Linked DNA regions of Pelodiscus sinensis. The protein of the gene in region 1 binds, or shares a complex with, the protein of each later gene. Links are inferred from orthologs where the notes say so. Each region holds a gene or a part of one and is shown in the gene's direction. Other genes may lie near its edges.

Region 1 (9,573 bases):
TCCGGAATACCTTATTCCGAAATAAATGTGCAGTGTAGATATAGCCTTACTCATCCTGTCACACTCCCTTCTGCAGTAACATAAATATGAATCAAAGATCTGACATGTAATAGGTGATTAGAACTGCTGCCAGTATTTGGTGTCAAGTGCTCATCACTATACATTATTAATCTCATAAAACCATACAGAAAAAAGACAGAATCACCAGGCAGGTGAAAGGGACCAGATGGGGGCACTCCCCCTCCCATCTGGGAATAAGGGATATAAGGGTGTGTCTATATAGCAGCGTCATTCCGAAATAACAATACGAGCATTTACACAATTCCGTTATTTTGAAATAAATTTGAAATAACAGAGGCTTATTCTGACTTCTGTAAACCTCATTCCATGAGGAATAACACCTCTTCCGAAATTATTATTTCAAAATAGCTGTAGTGAGGACACTCCACTGCTGCCATTTCAAAATAGCTCCTCCCCAGGACCATTCAGTGTAATCACTCCCTAGTGCTTCCTGGGACTAAATCAAGGTAGTGCATCCACATTAGGGGAGCCTGCCTTGGACTAATTTTGAGGCTTTCCTGTAGCGTAGATGCGCTATTTCAAAATAAGCTATTTCGGAGTATTTCTTCCGGAATAGCTTATTCCAAAATAAGTGTGCAGTGTAGACGTACCCTAAGTGAGTAGTTGATTAGTCGACTACCCAATAAGTCTAGGCTTATCAGGTAGTCGAGTCAAATATTTGTTCCCCCCCCCCCCCCCCCCCGCCTTACTGCCTCTGTATCAGATGCAGCAAGCAGGGAGGATGGCGGGGACAGGAGCCTGTGTTGGAAGGAGCCGGCTTAAAAGCCGCTCAGTCCCAACTCACACCAGGTCTGGGACCTACCACTGCTGCACCTCTGCATTTTGAATGTAGTAGAGCCAGGCAGCTCTTACTACATTTAAAATTCAGAGGCGCAGTGGTCCAGGACCTGGCACAAGCTGGGACTGCTCAGTCCTGGCTCGTGCTGGATCTGGGACCTACCCCCACTGTGGCTCTGCATTTTAAATGTACAGCTCTTACTACATTTAAAATGCAGAGCCACAGTGGTCCCGGTCCCAGCTTGCGCCTGGTCCAAGTCCTAGCCCTGCTGTGGCTCTGCAGTTTAAATGTAGCCAGGCTGCCTGTGTGCCTGGCTCCTACTGCATTTAAATTGCAGAGATGCGGTAGAGATAGCTCCTGGATCTGGTGCAAGCCGCAACAGAGCGCCTCCCCTCATCGATTAGCCAATTACCTACACAAATAGCCAATTACCCACTTCTTAACATCCTTACTGAGAATTTCTGATGCACCAGCTTTTTAATCCTTTGGAATAGATACAATCCAGAGTCACTGTCACCCAGACAGTAATTCATTCTGGTAGGGAAACATTTAGGGTTAGTATTAAAAAAAGTGAGTAATTGTAAGAATGGTATATACTTATGACAAGTGGTCAGATTACCTGTGGACAAGTCCAGAGACCTTCCATAAATAAAGGATAAGTGTAACATAACATATGACACAAGCAATAAAGACTGCAATGAGAAATGTAACATGCATCAGACCAGAATGCTTGGTACTTGAGGTTTCAGAAAGGATGTTATACTGTTATTCTTAGTATCCCTACAGCAGGATAGATGGTCCTGACTTTTACAGACAAATCGAGAAGACAAATGCTGACATGTACAGGTTGTAAGCAGCCCCTATAAAGTACTCAGAATTCTCACTGATACAGAAGTCAGTTGGAATTGAAGGCATTGGACACCTTGCAGTAAGTACTCAAAACCACACTTGTCCAGACCCTAAATCCTGTGTACACAGGCATCTCACTTAAATCTACCACTGTTGTTGTAGCACCAGTATGGATCCATTGATGGTAGCCACATGGAAGCACTAATGCTGACCAGTGTTTCCTCAATCTTTTCCATACATGTGTGGATTTTTTTTATATCCATGTGCAGAATAAATATTTGCTATGCACTGAAGCATGTACGAATATGCACCACCAGTAGAAACAAAAAACCCAGTTGTGGGTGCTCTGCTAATCAGCTGTGTGTCAATCTGTCCTGAGTGGCCAGGCAAGCAGGCAGCTTCCAGGGAACACTGGTGCTGACCAGTAGTTCAGTATTCATACTGCAAGCTGGCTTAGACAATGCAGGTGATCAGTGTACAGGAACTTCCACCCATGGTATTACAAAAGTGGTAATGCAACAATGGAAGATATTTAAGATGAGTGCTCATGAGGTCACAGCCTCAATTAGCCAAAATGAATCAAAGGATGACAAATAAAGGGCTGTGTCTGGACAAAACTAGACTACTCCAGAACTGCAACAGTAAGAGACCTTGTGTTCACATCTTTTTGGTTCCTTTTTTTGTTTTAGTAAGTTAAAATGTTATAATGTTAGTTTGAGGAAGTCAGTCCAAAGAGTAGAGGTGGTGGAATTGAGATAAGCTTTGGGAAGCTTGTCAAGAGAAGTGAGCCTGAAGGAGGAATTTGAAGAAAGCAAGTGAGGTGTCATTGAGAAATGTTAAATATTTTATATAGCCAGTGGTTAATATTTCAATATTCACAATCCACAAGTCTATCTCTTCCTTCTGTGTAGTCAGGCCAAACATCCAAGGACGTTCTCAAGGAGCTGTTCGGTGATGTACTGGAGCAATGGGGGGTGGATTATTGTACTCTGGAGAAAAAAATGAAAATGATCAGAATTAGTCAGAATCAATTTGATACATTATGTAGCATGTGTCCAGACATGGGATAACTGTAGATCAGCATCTTTGTAATCCTCTGAACTTTGACATTCAGACTGTGTTATAGAACTAAGTCCAGAATTGGACTCTTAACCATCATGCCCTGTTTAGGGCCAGATCTTGACTGTGGAAATCCTCTAACCGGTAGCTTCATGCTGTCTAGCACTGCCTGAATGTCTTAGAGATCTGTTTTAACGTTAATAGACAATTTAATCACAGAATAATAATTGAGTATTTGAAAAGAGAGAACACAGGTTGATTTGCCCATCACTTTTATAGTTCTGTCACTTCTTGAAATGCATTTTCCTGAGAATGACCTCTAGATAAAGTTATTTTCAGCTGAGAGTAAGGCGGTATAGAGGCTGGTGGGGAAAGAGATGTTATGCTGTTGTTGTTCACCTCTGTTTGCTAAGCTTCAGATTTGTTTATCTATTGCCTTACCCACCTTTCCATGCCAAAGAATGGCCACTGAATAGGTAACAGCCAATAAACTTTTGATGACACCAGGCTAGAGGCATCAACTTGTCATTCATCTTTGAGAAATAGGTTTATTTACTTCACAGACTTGTATGATAAATAACTTCAATTGTGATTTCATCTTATGCTCATAACTTTACATATATTACTGTTACATACATTTTGCCATGATGCTACTAACCAGCAAATTATCACTTTTCAAATGATACCTTCAAGGCATATTTTGTACAAAGATTAGTGTGCAGGGTGTAAATACCAGGGTGCATTCCGTCACATGCATTCATCCAAGAAACAACACATTGTCTACACTTTCTGGTTTACAAAAATTGTATTGATACATTTACTCTTATTTGCATTGATACAATTGAGGGAATGAACTGTCTAGTCCGGCACGCTTGGGACCTGTTCGGTGCCGATCCAGAGAATTTGCCAGACAATGGGAGGTCAATATTGTCTAACAGCATTACCAACACTTCCACTGCTTACCGAGCACTTGGAAGACATTTAAGGGTAAATTAGAGGTAAATAACAGCACAGAACACTGAGAGCCAGGACTGGTGGCTATAAACAAACTTTATGGGACCATGGGAAACTTGGCCACACCCATAGGTGGACATCCAGCTAACTAAAATAATGACGGACCTCAGATGTTGCTGGACTGGGAATACCAAACTAGAGCAGTTCAACCTGTAGCAGGAAAAAAGCAGGGCCATGTTGAAACAAGTCAGAGAAGGAACAATATAAGGGGACTCACATACCATTGTATTTAGTTGGAGTAAGCAGGTTTGATTGTTTGTCACACGAGGAAAAAAAGACAAATGTGAGGGAAATTATTTTTTCTAATTGTGAAGGGATGAACGCATGAAGTGTGTTGATGTATATTAACTTGGTGAAACTGACAGCCAGAAGTCAGTAAATTGTGAAAAGGGTCACAAATCCACTGACACATACGAGACCATTGATTTCCACAGTAATATATTTCCCTGTAAATAACTGATATTTGGTTTCATAATGATCCAGTTGTTCAGATTAGATTTTGTGTATTCTTAACCAGACTCGTCTGTCAGGAAACACTGACTTCTTAACAGGTTATGAAAACTATTTTGCTGGCCTCACATCTTATCAGGATTTTCACTGCATTACATTTTTTTCTTTTAGCCTATCCTTGTTTTCATTTTTGTTGACAGGTATGTCACTATGATGCAGATAGAAGAATCATGAGGCTTCAGTCCATATCTGCATCTGACATGATAGTTACATATTTTTTATTTTTCTGTCTTAGGGTTTAACAATGGTATTTTCAACAAGCTGTGGCCCTTACATATAAGCTGTATATCCTGCTCAATGACAAAATTCTCATTCACTTCAATAGGACCATGATCGGTCCGTATTAGTCTGATAACAGAAAGCGTTGCCTGCAGGAATTAGCAAGTCACAATAAAAAAGAATTGCATGGCACAGATGCTGGTTGTGCAAAGGAAGAAATCCCAGGCTTGTGTTAGGTTTTCACTAATGTGATGCATAAGAAAAAGATCCCATTTAAAATAAATGTGTTGCACTTTTGCCAGAATCTCTGTGATCAGAAGAAGGCAGAATTTTCAAACACAGAAACTGCCTCCTTTGAATATTGTACAGGAAAAAAAGGAACATTTAGGAGTGGACAGAGCAGCACTTTATGGCTGTTGGTAGTGTCTGTTCTTTGTCCACCTAGCATTTTATGGTCTTTTTTCCAGGAAACACACAGGTGGAGAAGTTGAATGTTGTGCCCCAGTTTGATGCTGTAGCCAATACACTTCTGGTAATTAGGCTGCACAGTGAGGATGGCATGAGCATCACAGTCAAAGCAGTGATGCACTTTCATGAGTTCTGTCTTTGAGGTTTTTCTTATGTCTTTCTTCTTTTGTTCAATGAAGCATCATAATCAACACCTTATGTAGAAATTTCCATCTCATAATCTCAAAGTACTTTATAGCCATTAATAAACAACACAACCCCTGTGAGATTGATCAGTATAATTAACACCATCCAACAGATGGGGAAATGGAGGCACAGAGAAAGTAAAGATTTGCCCAATCTCAAGAGGATTCCCTATCCTCTGCTCTAAAAAGCTGATCCAGCTCCTGTTGCAATCAACATTAAGATTTGTATTACCTGCAGTGAGCTAGATCAGCCTGCGACATCCCATTCTCACATACACCTTTGTTGTTTGGTTCTCTCTAATGTAGTATAACTTTAATATTGTGTAATATATTATCTGCAATGAAGAATATTCCAGATAGGAATATAATATATATATATATCAGATTCTAATAGATTATAGCACTTTTAATAGTAACTTCTATCTATAACTCTCCAAATCCTTTACAGACCTTAAGGAATTAAACGTTATGAAACCACACTGAAACTGGCATTATCCCCAAGTGACATACAGAGAAAATGAGTTACGGTACTGAGCAGGCAAGTACCTTGCCCAAAGTCCACAGAAAATCTGTATCAGAGATGGGGAAAGAATCCAGGTTTGTTTACTTCTAGTCCTAATCATAAACCATTCCCCTTCTTTTCCTGATCTGAAAATTCAATTTCTGTTAACATTGCTCGATAGGATTTTACTTTTTTAATATGTTTGTAAAGAACTTCATTAATACATAGGCACAGGTCACACTGTGTCCCGTGGCTACCCTGGGCTGCAGACGGCGAACCGCAGCCAGTGGGAGCCATGAGGCTCTGTGGCTGCAAAGTAAACAAACCAGAGTGGCCCGGTAGAATCTTTCTCAGAATGCTCGGAGGCGCCACAGCACGCAGCCTGGCATCCAAGATGGCCACCTAGATGACGCCAAGGCGGGCGTGCTTGGACGTGTGACGCGGCAACTGCACTCCCCCCCGCCTACCCTGTGCGTGCTGACGTTACAGCACCGAATGGTCCCGTGACCGGAAGCTGGCGCGGGATAGGCGGAAGTGAAAGCAGGGAGGCTGTTTGGCCCCATTAAAGCGGAGTCGAAGGCAGCAGTGGAGGTAGCGAGGCTTGGAGCTCGTGTCGCGGGGCTGCTGAGCGTGGTGAGTGGCCGGCTTGGCGATGTGGGGCTCTCTCCTTCCCTGGGCTGGGTTGTGGCCTGCTGCTCCCCTGGCGGCTCGGGACTTGGGCGGGGGCGAAAGGGGGGGAAGGGTCTGTGGCTTGGCGGAGGTAGCGGGCGCTTGGCGGGGTCTGCGTGGTGGGCAGCTGCTTGGTGGGGGCGGAGAACGTAGGCCCGGCGCTGCGAAGGAGGCTGCTCGCCGGGGCCGGCGGGCGGCAGCTGCTCTCGCAAGTGCCCTGAGGCTGGGGGAGGGAGGAAAAGGCAGCCGGCTCCACCCTAGTCCCCCTGAGGAGGGGGAGGTAGTAGATCCCGGTGTCTGGGACTAAAGCGAGAGGAGGGGCTCTAGGAGGAGGTGGCAGCGGGGCTCCTCCCTTGTTGGAGTAGGAGGGGGAGCGGCTCTGTGAGGAGGGGCCTTTTCTTTCCAGTTGCGGGGACTAAATGGGGTGGGGAGGAGGCGTTGATGGACCCGGAAAATTGTTCCTTTGTGTCTTATCCTGTGCCAGAGAATGGGGCTCTTCCTTGTTAGTGGGATTTGCATCGAGAGCTCACTGAGTTAGGGAGGCATTGTGTGTAAGGATTGGGATGGGTTTAAGATTTTTCTTTCCTCCTGCCCTCATCTATATGTAACAATGATGCTTTCATAATGCTTCAGAGTAGCTAGTAAAAGCTGATGTTTTGAATATAAAGCTTTCCTGGTCGATGTGGATGTTTTCTTCTAAGGAAGAGGCCATTCCTTCAGCCTCTCTAGTTGCCTGTAGTCAGGTGCATTGACCTGATATGAAAATCAGTAAGAGCTCAAGTAGAAATGATAAAGTTTCTGATGGAGATTTGTCACCCACCTTTTGTGCTTGGGTTTATGCAAACTCTGAAGAATGGGGGTGGGTGGGGGGGGGGGGGAGAACAGCTAGAGGCTAGGAATATCCCTAAGTTTTTTTTTTTTTCAGAAAAAACTACTATAATTTGAAATATTATTCAGTGTAATCAGTGGATATAATTAACTTACTAGCAGACTGCACTTAGTCCAGTTAATAACAGGATAACATAGGCAACTGAAAAGACTGGCAGTTATTGCGCAAGTAACTTCTTTGCATGCATAAGGACTGAGTCAGTGGGAAGAATTAAATTTGATGCTAAGATGCTGTAGGCTGTAATCAGCTCTTATGCCTTTAAAAAGGCTAACCATTGCTATCCTGATTAATTAAAAAGCTAAGTTAAGGAGGGATTTCAATATTTTTCTAACTGCTAGCAGAGGTGATGTATTGGTTTAGCTGTATTTTAAAATAGTTCTGATTATACTGACTTCTTACAACCTTGAGGTAAGACATAAACTTGAGTCATAGGCCAAGTTTAATTTTGTCTTTCATGATTCTTCAAAAACTTGTCCTGGTGGAACAGAGCTGCTAAACCTATGAAGGACTGCATGGGCAAACATGTAAATAAACACAAGGTTTTACAAATTCCTCCCAGACAAGCAGGAAGTTCAATGCTAAGATCTGTTTTGTTGCTAACAATTTGGAACATGGGTAACAAATAGTAGCAGTCCACTACTACACCACTCACTACTACACAACTCTTCTGTGCTATGCAAATTGCAAGTCAACATCTTACACCTGATAATATAGATGGGGATTATGAAGTACGTGACCCAGCTTGCTCTACTAGAGTTAGCTGACTTCATTTGTCTGGTTATGGCTTTAACTTGGAATGCCTGTTTGCCACTAAGACCACTAGCATTTAATAAAATAAAAAAAGTCCTGCAGCACCTGAGACTAACAGATGGTATTATGCACTTTTGTGGGCATATCCAAAGCTCATACCATCTGCAGCACCTTAGATAAATAAAAAAAAAACCAATAGTCCTACTTTTTTGTTAAACTTTCAGTTACAGACTGAAGTATTTGATAAAACAGTTTCTTGGCTAATATTCTCCAGGCAGCCATATTGAAGTGCAACTCTTTTATAATCTGGAATGAAGTTTGTTTAAAGTAGGTAGACTACTGTGTTCACTGTTTTTTAAATCTGTGGTTCTATGCCATGCCCTCAGTCAGGAAAAACTCTCATTCTGTCTTTCCCTTGTGACTTCAGCAGCTGACTAAACACATGACTTGCTATCCACAAACTAATAATACTTTGTCTAGATTTGGTGGATCAAGTTCAGAATTCAAAGGGTCTTCATTATGACTTATTTCCTAATGTAATAAATTCTTAGGCATTCAAAGTGTAATCTCAAACTTCTCTTCTACATGTGCTGTTATATTCTAGTACAGAAAGTACAAGATTGGGTTAAACTGTAATTACCAAAATAAGCAGAACTGCTTTCAAGAAGCCCTACAGCAGTACAGTTTTCTCCACTAATCTGCTGCAGAATCTAGTATCTAAAAACCTTCCTAAATTATCAGCTAGGTCAGGAAATGCTTCTCAGACTCAATATAACTGTTTTTGTTTCTAGAGAACTAATCTACAAAGATGCTTAAGGCGGGACAATAGATATTGTAAAGCATGGCTTAAAACACTTGAACTCTAATATAATTGGGCACATTGAGACTGCTCTGAAATACAATTCTAACTAGCTTCTCCATAGCTTTCTTTTTTGGTAAGTCAAAGTGGCTTCTGTTGCTTAAGCCTATTTGCTTTTGGACTGCACTCAAATGTCCAAGGAGAAGAGTGGTTTTGGACTCTGAACTTCAGTAGCAGAACTTATAAGAGTTTCATGCTGTTTGAGATTTACCTGTCAGCAGAATAAATTTATGGGCAAAACATGACTTTGGGGAAGTCCTTTCTTATTCGAAACTATAAGACTGTGCCTCTGTTTTGGGGAAGAGGGGAGTTTTCTAGGGAGAGCTGAACAGTGACTGCAGAATATTTGTAGATAGTTTCACTGCATGGCATTAAACATATTACCCCTGGAGTGGTATAAAAATCCCATTATATAGGGAGCATATAAGATTGCCCACTTCACTACTGTTAAGGCAGTTGATTTGACAATCCCAAATCATTTCAAAGTAGGTGGCCTACAGAGCCTGATCTAAAACAAAAGATTAAGGAACATGGCAAAGGATGCCACCATACTACATGAGAGAATTACTGATCCTCCAGAATGGTAGTGGATTGCTGTGTAGCAGGATGTCAAACTTCAGCCTGTAGTCAAAAGCCCAATCTCTGTAAAATATACACTATTTTAAGAAGGCTGTTCTGGAATCCACTTTGTTAAACTGCACATCTTTAACAAACATACCTTAAGAAAACAGGCCTGGTCAA
Region 2 (8,606 bases), on another chromosome or scaffold:
GGGAGAGTGGAAAGAGGTGGTTATGCAACTAGCCCTTTGTGGAGGAGAGTTCTGAGCCCTTTCCTGCCTAAGGACATGTCAAAAATCCGCAAAAACTAGTCCAGTAGCATCAAAGACTAGCACACTTATTTGGGCAAAAGGTTTCACGGGCTAAAGACCCGCTTCATCAGACGCACCAGACAAAGTGTGTGGGGGGGTGTCTTTGCCTATGAAAGCATAGGCCCAAATACACCAGTTAGTCTTTAAGATAAATGGTTAGTGGATAAATGGGAATAAATGGTCAGTGTTCAGAATGAAAAGAGATAACTAGTGGTGTCCAATCCTATTGAACACATTCATAAATGGCCTGGAGAAGGGGGCAAACGTGGCAAAATTTGCAAATGAAACAACCTACTCACGACAGTTGAGGCTGTGAAGAACTTCAAAAGGATCTCACTTATGACTAGGCAATAAAATGGCAGATTAATTTTACCTGTTATCACTCGAGAGAGATGTTAGACATTGTGGATAGTTTTGAGAATATCCATAGCACCTGTCAAAAACAAATCAAAAGGATAGAGAATCAGACAAATATCTTATTGCTTCTATATCAATTGATGGTATTCCCACATCTTGAATACTGTGTGCACTGTAGTAGTCACTCAGGATTTATTGGTGTGATGTCCTGACAGGTCTCCTGCTCCCTAGATGATAATCATTTGGCTGCATGTGTTGACTTGTGCAAGTAGTTAACACAGCTGACTCCAAGAGAGCCCCCAAAATCAGATGATTGAAGGTGCAGGGCCAGGTTTATTGTCAAAGTACAGTAATAGTTGGCAGTAGACTCTACCCAACCACAATACCTATATACTCCCCTGACAATGGACATGGCTCAGTGTCATGAGAATCTATCACTGCCCCTTAGGCCGGACAAAGACAGCCCTGCCAAGACACCACTTTATATATAAAAACAACAAATGGTCTGGTAGCACTTTATAGACTAACAAAACATGTAGATGGTATTATGAGCTTTCGTGGGCACAGCCCACTTCTTCGGATGACCGGAGTTATGAGTTTAGGATGTGTACACCCAAAATAAATAGGAGAGGGGAAGTGAAGGGGAGAGTGAAGAAAAAGGGAGGAGGGTGGGAGACAGAATCAGTAAGTATCTGAAGATTGGCTAGTTAAACTGAAGCAGATAAGAATCAAAGTCAATAGATAGACTCCCATGTCAGGAAGGATACTACACAGAGTTGTCTGCACCTTCAATGGCTGTTAAATTGGTAGTGTTCCAACCGACTTTCATCACAATTGAGTCCATTAGCATGTGAATTGCATTGTGGATGAATTGTAATTCCAATGTGCTACCACGTAGTCTATGAAGTGCTACCAGACCATTTGTTGTTTTTTCCTGTAACAGACTAACTTGGCTACCCCCTGAAGCTTCGGTTACAAACAAGTTACTCATCTCTCCCACCCTTTGAGGTTTCCACCATTTGATAGTACTTAGATACCACCCATCACCCTGCACCTTGTGGTTCAATTAGAACATCTCTATCCAACATGCTGTCATTTTCTGGACCTTTCCTGGACCTGGGGTTGGTATTTGTGGGGAGTGTAGAGACCAAGGTTATTTTTAATGAGCTGATGTTACCATCTTTTTGGAATATGCTTTCAGCTTATGACCAGTACCAATTGCTGTTATAGCCGGTACCTAGTACCAGTTACGATTCTACGTCTGTGCCTATTACCAATTAGTGTTTTACACACTCAGCCCTGTTCAGGCCAAGTTCTGTGAGCAAGGGCCTGCCTCTTGGTCACAGGTTAGCTTTGCTTTAACAATACTCAAGACTTTACTAATATAGGTAAGTCTCAGGCCTCAAATCAGACCTGTGCTACATGGGCTTTTGTTTGTCCTTTATCTTACTATCTCAAAAAAGATATCTCGGCATTAGAAAAAGTTCAGAAAGGGGCAAGATAAATGATTAGGAGTATCTCTTGCCATTTGAGAGGAAATTAATAAGATAGAAAGTCCCAATCTTGGAAAAGAGATGACCAAGGGGAGATACAACAAAGATGTATAAAATCATGACTAGTGTGAAGAAAGTAAATAAAAGTTATTTACTTGTTTTAAGAACTAGGGGTTACAAAATGAAATTAACAGGTAATAGGTTCAAAACAAAAGGAAGTATTTCCTCACACAGAAAAGTCAATCTGTGGCACTTCCTGCCAGAAGAAGGCCAAGACTGTAACGGTTCAAAGAACTAGATAATTTCATGGACGTTGGGCCCATCAATGGCTGTTAGCCAGGCTGGGCAGGGAGGGTGTCCCTGGTCTCTGTTTGTCAGGGGTAGGAATAGGCAACAGGAGGGATCCTGTGATGATTCCCTGTTCTGTTCACTCCCTCTGGGACACTGTGGGCAGGCAGGACACTGGACTTGATGGACCTTGGGCCTGGTTATTCTTATGTTGAGTGGCCTGAGGGCTACGATGACTCACTGGCTGCCCAGCTGAGATGTTAGTGTGAGGTGCTCAGCCCCACTGGGAACAGCCCTCCCCTTCGGCCTGGGGGTGAAGCTTGGGGCCTGCCTCCACCAGCCTCTGGGCTGGGTCTCTGCCCTTCCACTCTGTTGCCCCTTGTGAGCCCAGGGCCATTTAAAATAGCCCCTTAGCAAGGGAGCGGGGGACAGTCTCAGAGCACCCTGCCTCCCCCTTAGTGTTGCCTTAAAGAGCCCCACGCCCCCAGCCCTTAGCGCCGCCTCAGCGTGCCCTACCCCCCGGCCCTTAGCGCCACCTCAGAGTGTTCTGACCCCCGGCCCTTAGCGCCACCTCAGAGCGCCCTGCCCCCCAGCCCTTAGCGCTGCCCCCCAGCCCTTAGCGCCACCTCTGAGTGTTCTGACCCCCGGCCCATAGCGCCACCTCAGAGCGCCCCGCCCCCCAGCCCTTAGCGCCGCCTCAGAGCGCCCCGCCCCCCAGCCCTTAGCGCCACCTCAGAGTGTTCTGCCCCCCCCAGCCCTTAGCGCCACCTCAGAGCGCCCCGCCCCCCCCGGCCCTTAGCGCCACCTCAGAGCGCCCCGCCCCCTCAGCCCTTAGCGCCACCTCTGAGTGTTCTGACCCCCGGCCCTTAGCGCCACCTCAGAGCGCCCCGCCCCCCAGCCCTTAGCGCCACCTCTGAGTGTTCTGACCCCCAGCCCTTAGCGCCGCCTCAGAGCGCCCCGCCCCCCAGCCCTTAGCGCCACCTCAGCGTGCCGTGCCCCCCAGCCCTTAGCGCCACCTCTGAGTGTTCTGACCCCCAGCCCTTAGCGCCACCTCAGCGCGCCCTGCCCCCCCTGCCCTTAGCGCCACCTCAGAGCGTCCCACCCCCCCCCGCCCTTAGTGCCACCTCAGAGTGTCCCACCCCCCCCGCCCTTAGTGCCACCTCAGAGCGTCCCGCCCCCCAGCCCTTAGCGCCACCTCAGAGCGTCCCGCCCCCCCCGCCCTTAGCGCCACCTCAGAGCGTCCCGCCCCCCCCCGCCCTTAGTGCCACCTCAGAGCGTCCCACCCCCCCCCGCCCTTAGTGCCAGCTCAGAGCGTCCCGCCCCCCCTGCCCTTAGTGCCAGCTCAGAGCGTCCCGCCCCCCCTGCCCTTAGTGCCAGCTCAGAGCGTCCCGCCCCCCCTGCCCTTAGTGCCAGCTCAGAGCGTCCCGCCCCCCCAGCCCTTAGCGCCGCCTCAGAGCGTCCCGCCCCCCCGGCCCTTAGCGCCACCTCAGAGCGCCCCGCCCCCCCCGGCCCTTAGCGCCACCTCAGAGCGCCCCGCCCCCCCCCGGCCCTTAGCGCCACCTCAGAGCGTCCCGCCCCCCAGCCCTTAGCGCCGCCTCAGAGCGCCCCGCCCCCCAGCCCTTAGCGCCGCCTCAGAGCGCCCCGCCCCCCCGGCCCTTAGTGCCGCCTCAGAGCGCCCCGCCCCCCAGCCCTTAGCGCCGCCTCAGAGCGCCCCCCCCGCCCTTAGCGCCGCCTCAGAGCGTCCCGCCCCCCCCCGCCCTTAGCGCCGCCTCAGAGCGTCCCGCCCCCCCCCGCCCTTAGCGCCGCCTCAGAGCGTCCCGCCCCCCCGGCCCTTAGCGCCACCTCAGAGTGTTCTGACCCCCGGCCCTTAGCGCCGCCTCAGAGCGCCCCGCCCCCCCGGCCCTTAGCGCCGCCTCAGAGCGCCCCGCCCCCCGGCCCTTAGCGCTGCCTCAGAGCGTCCCGCCCCCCCGGCCCTTAGCGCCACCTCAGAGTGTTCTGACCCCCGGCCCTTAGCGCCGCCTCAGAGCGCCCCGCCCCCCCGGCCCTTAGCGCCGCCTCAGAGCGCCCCGCCCCCCGGCCCTTAGCGCTGCCTCAGAGCGCCCCGCCCCCCCGGCCCTTAGCGCCGCCTCAGAGCGCCCCGCCCCCCAGCCCTTAGCGCCGTCTCAGAGCGCCCCGCCCTCAGGCTGTGGGCCAATCACGCTGGGGGTGGGGGTGGGGTCTACGCGCGGTGCCCCGCCCCTGCGGCCAATGGGAGCTGCGGGCAGCAGCGCGCGGAGTCCCCGCCCCCCGCCGAGGAGCTGCCAGAGGCGCGTGCAGGAGCAGACCCGCCCACCCCGCGGCCGAGGGGGCCGGGCGCGTGCGCGGCGCTGGGCGGGAGGCGGCGCGCGCCATGGCGGAGCGGCTGCCGCGGCCCGGGCGCCTGGCCCCGGAGCGCGTGTACCGCCTGGCCGGGGCGCTGGGCGCCGAGCTGCAGCGGCTGTCGGGGCGCTTCGGGCCCGAGGCGGTGGCTGGGCTGGTGCCGCAGGTGGTGCGGCTGCTCGAGCTGCTGGAGGCGCTGGCGGGGCCGCCCGCGGCCGAGCCCGGCCCCGAGCCCGGCTGCCAAGACCCGGCCGAGGCGCTGCTGCGCACGGTGCAGAGCCTGAGGCGGCGCGAGGAGCCCGCGGCCCCCGCCGGGGAGGTGAGGGGGGTCTGGGGGGCGGGGCAGAGACGGGGGGGAAGGAGGGTGGGGGGGAGACTGGGGGGTCGGGACTGGGAGCTCAGGGGCGGGGTTGGGGTCTTTGGGGGCGGGGGGTAGGTTGGAGTCTTGGGGGAGGGGGCTGTGGGGGGAGGGGCGGGGGCTCTGGGGGCAGGGTTGGGGGCTCTGGGAGGTTGCCCTGGCAGCCAGTGCGCAGGCTAGGCAGTGTCATGCCATGGCTGCTCTCCGAGGAACTGAGTCCACCTGACCCCAAGCCCAAGAGGCTCTTGTGGGGTAAAGGGCAGAGCGTCTGGGGTGGGCAGGGCTCTGATCTCACTGGTGCCTTTTTTGCAGGCACTGCAGCAGAAGCTGGCGGAGGCCTGGAGGAAAGAACATGTTCTCCAACACCGGCTGGCCCAGCTAGAAGAGGAAAACCACAAGCTCCTGGCACAGCTGGCGGAGAGCCAGTCCCAGGAAGGTAGGTGTCCCTGGGGAAGCTGTTGCTGAATCCCTGCCAGCTTCTGAGTGCCGGGAAGTTCACTCAGTGAGGCTAGGCTGCAGTGTATCTGGCTTACAGCCCACTGTCATCCTTGGGATGCTCTGCTTATATCTGGAGGAATAAACCTTTATTCTGATATCTGAGCACGTGCACATTCTATGTAATACCACCACCCTGTCTCTGAGGCATCTCACTTGATGAGACTGGGGGACTGAGGCCCAGGGTAAGGCTGTATATACTAGGGACCTCAGTTCAGCTGCACAGGTGTAAGCACTGTAGAGCTCTGAACTAGGCAGTGTGTGGTAGCTTCTAGTACGTTTAATTAGAAGCTTTGTTTATATTGGGGCTCCCAGAGGTGCTAGTAGAGTGTGATGACTTCCCCCCCCCAGGGTGCCATCTGGTGCCCCACTTCCCCAGCCCAACAGCCTAGGTTCCCACACTCACTGTACTGCTGTGATAAGCTGCTGTGCCCTCCAGCCTGCACTTTTGCCAGCGTGCATACAGTAGAAGGACACCCAGCTGCAGTTACATGCAGGCTCTCTGAGCAGCCTCTGCATAGGAATGCTACAGCTAAGGCAACAGCCAGCTTTTCAGACACAAAGCCGCTCTGAAGTATGAACCCACAAGGACATTGGCTTGCTCTGCACAGGGCAAGCTCATAGAATTCCCTCCCTCCCTCAGGGCAGTGGCATCTGCAGCAGTCTTTTGCCCCCAAGTTATGATTCCCACACTCTGCTTTAGGTAAAGCAAAACCAAGTTTATTAACTGCAGAAGATCAAAGCAGATTACCTAGCAAATAAACCAAAAACACAAACTAAATTTAAAAATGTTTCCAGGCGTTGTCTTGTGTGGGGTGCAGAGAACAACCAGATGATGTCACTCCATATATGTTTTTGCATGTGGTGGCAACCCTTTGTTTTAAAGCTTGGTTCCCAGACCAGTCTGTGGAGAAACACTGATATCCCAAGGTGGAGTCAACAGACATGTGGTCACATCATATGTCTTTGTGGGGTCATAGCAGCCATTTATAGTTTCTGTTTTGGAATTTTACACTTATCCATACTAGTTTGTTTCAGTTGCATCTTTCAGTGTCAGTGGTTGATTGTATTTCCTTTGGTAAAGCACCTTTCATGTGATCAGGGAGTCTAGTAATTGAGTAAGACTCTAAACTAAGAATTTGAACTAACCAACTTCTAAAATTATAAGTTAAAAGAAGAAGTAGAGTAATAGTACAAGAGGAAGCAGCCACCTGTATGATCTAACAGAGGGCTTCCTTCTCTATTGCCACATGCTTGAAACTTAGAGTCCCGGGGATGGTGGTTTGACGGACCAGGCAGGTCTGGGCACAGCTGAGGGCGTCCGCTCAGGGCAAATTGCTCAAATTTGGGGCTCCTTACAGCCCCCAGAATGGAGACCTTCCCAAACAGGCCACAAACCAGTCCCACATAGCGCTTCAGCTGCCTGCCTGAAGCCTCATGAGCAAAACCCCTCTGAGACACCAGCAATATCTGTGTCCCAGATGGCCCTGAACCTCATACACAGGTGAGGGGGTCTTAGAACCCAATCTCACCTACCCCGAACAAGTTCTGTCTGGTTCCAAAAAACCAGCCACAGATCCCAGGTCAATTTACCCTCTGGACCTTACCCACAAGCCACGCTGAGCCAACCCTTTAGAATCTACCATCTAAAGAGTTTATTACTATGAGAACGAAAAGCACGAGAATGAGGTTGTTAAAGTATCATACGTTACATGCATCGAATCGCCCAGTTCTCGATGCAGGCTCTAGCAGAGATGTTATAGCTGCTGGATTAAAAGTCCTTGTTGCACATCCTAGGTCAGGATGGGTCCACAGGTCTTCCTGGCTCGTGATCCCCTGCAAGGCTGCATCTGGTGTCAGGAGCAGATCTAAGTCCAGCACGGAGTCGACCACATGGCCTGTTTATACCTCCTCCCTGATTTCTTCCAAGCTGGAGGGAGTCACATGGCCAGTGGCCAGGTGTGTCTTTGGCCTTCAGAGGCCCATTGTTCCCTGGAGCTTCGCTCATTAGCATGTCCATAGGCAATAATTCCTAGCCCATTATTCAAGCACATTCAGAGAGATTCCAGTCTCCATACAGAGTACAGACCCCTAACTCCACACACAGACATTATACAGATCTATGAAGAGCAGATACAGAATCAGAAGAAAGTAGCTTTTGTTTGACCCCTCACATGGCCCCTTTGTACCACTTTTGGGGCAAACACCCCCCATGGATGCAGCAGTGACCCGGCTGCTCCCCTCACAATCCCATAACGTGACAGGTGGTTGTTACTACCAAATTGGAACTTGTGAAAGCTAATTGGATTAGTATCCCACTATGCCTGAATGCACAGTAAGAGATGGTTCCTGCTCCAAAGAGTTTACATCTTACAGAAGTAATAAATGTGTTTAAAGAAAGAGAGGACAAGGGTTACTAAGAGGGAGAAGTTGTGTGGGCTGGCTGCATACATAGCTGTCAAGCTTAACAGAAGTAAGCAAGAGGCCTTAGTGATGTCATCCCTGATGTTCACTACTTGGTTAGGATGAGGAGGAGTTGGCAATGTGACATGGCAGAAGAACAGTGAGTGTTGTGTGAGGAGGAGGGGATGGTCCTGCTCTGCACCGCCAGGTAGTGAGTAGAAGGGCATGGGCTCGTGTCAGAAAAAGATGGAGGTTGAGAGAGAATAGGCTAGGAGAGAAGCAGCTCTTAGGAGTTAGATCTGTGCAACATGGAGATGCACGAAGGCTGCATTCAGGATGGTGGTTGAGGGTAGTGCAAGGAGCAATGGGAGGAAATAAGGGGGAAACATTCGGATAATGTCAACAAGGTGTATACCCGGTGAGGGGGTGATCGGAGAGTCTGGGAGGGCTGGATTCTGTAAATTGGTTATTTAACCGGGCAATGCCAATAACGTCAGCTCCCGAAGGGGAGGTTGAAGAAGTTGCTGAGGCTGTGGTCACAGCTTAGTTGTCATTTCACAGTGGGGCTTGAGTAAAAAATGTGACTTCTGCCTTCACTGGATGGTGATGCATGGTGTGGGAGCAGTTTGGCTCCTCATAGGGATGAGATGAGGGAATGGGGTAAGGGTGCTTTGGCTTGTTAGGCAGGGGCAGTAAGATGAAATGACCTTAATTGTCCCTTCTGGCCATAATCTGAGTTATTCTAGCAGCAGATA

Evidence for each region.
Region 2: the proteins of RAB7A (region 1) and RILP are in contact, whole or in part, in a crystal structure (PDB 1YHN), measured with the Homo sapiens proteins. The link is inferred for Pelodiscus sinensis from reciprocal best matches to the Homo sapiens genes RAB7A and RILP. Residues at the interface, in NP_004628.4 of Homo sapiens: Ser3, Lys6, Leu8, Ile41, Gly42, Ala43, Asp44, Phe45, Leu46, Thr47, Thr58, Trp62, Ser72, Leu73, Val75, Leu182, Tyr183, Asn184, Glu185; in NP_113618.2 of Homo sapiens: Phe248, Glu249, Leu252, Gln253, Arg255, Asn256, Lys259, Ala260, Phe263, Leu264, Glu267, Glu268, Tyr271, Arg274, Glu275.

The regions. Positions count from the first base shown.
Region 1 is NC_134721.1:25,507,247-25,516,819, forward strand, and holds the start of RAB7A (ras-related protein Rab-7a), read left to right. Parts: upstream 1-6,152; 5' UTR 6,153-6,298; intron 6,299-9,573.
Region 2 is NC_134731.1:1,044,251-1,052,856, forward strand, and holds the start of RILP (rab-interacting lysosomal protein), read left to right. Parts: upstream 1-4,522; 5' UTR 4,523-4,626; coding exon 4,627-4,914; intron 4,915-5,265; coding exon 5,266-5,389; intron 5,390-8,606. UniProt on the Homo sapiens protein: Rab effector playing a role in late endocytic transport to degradative compartments. Involved in the regulation of lysosomal morphology and distribution.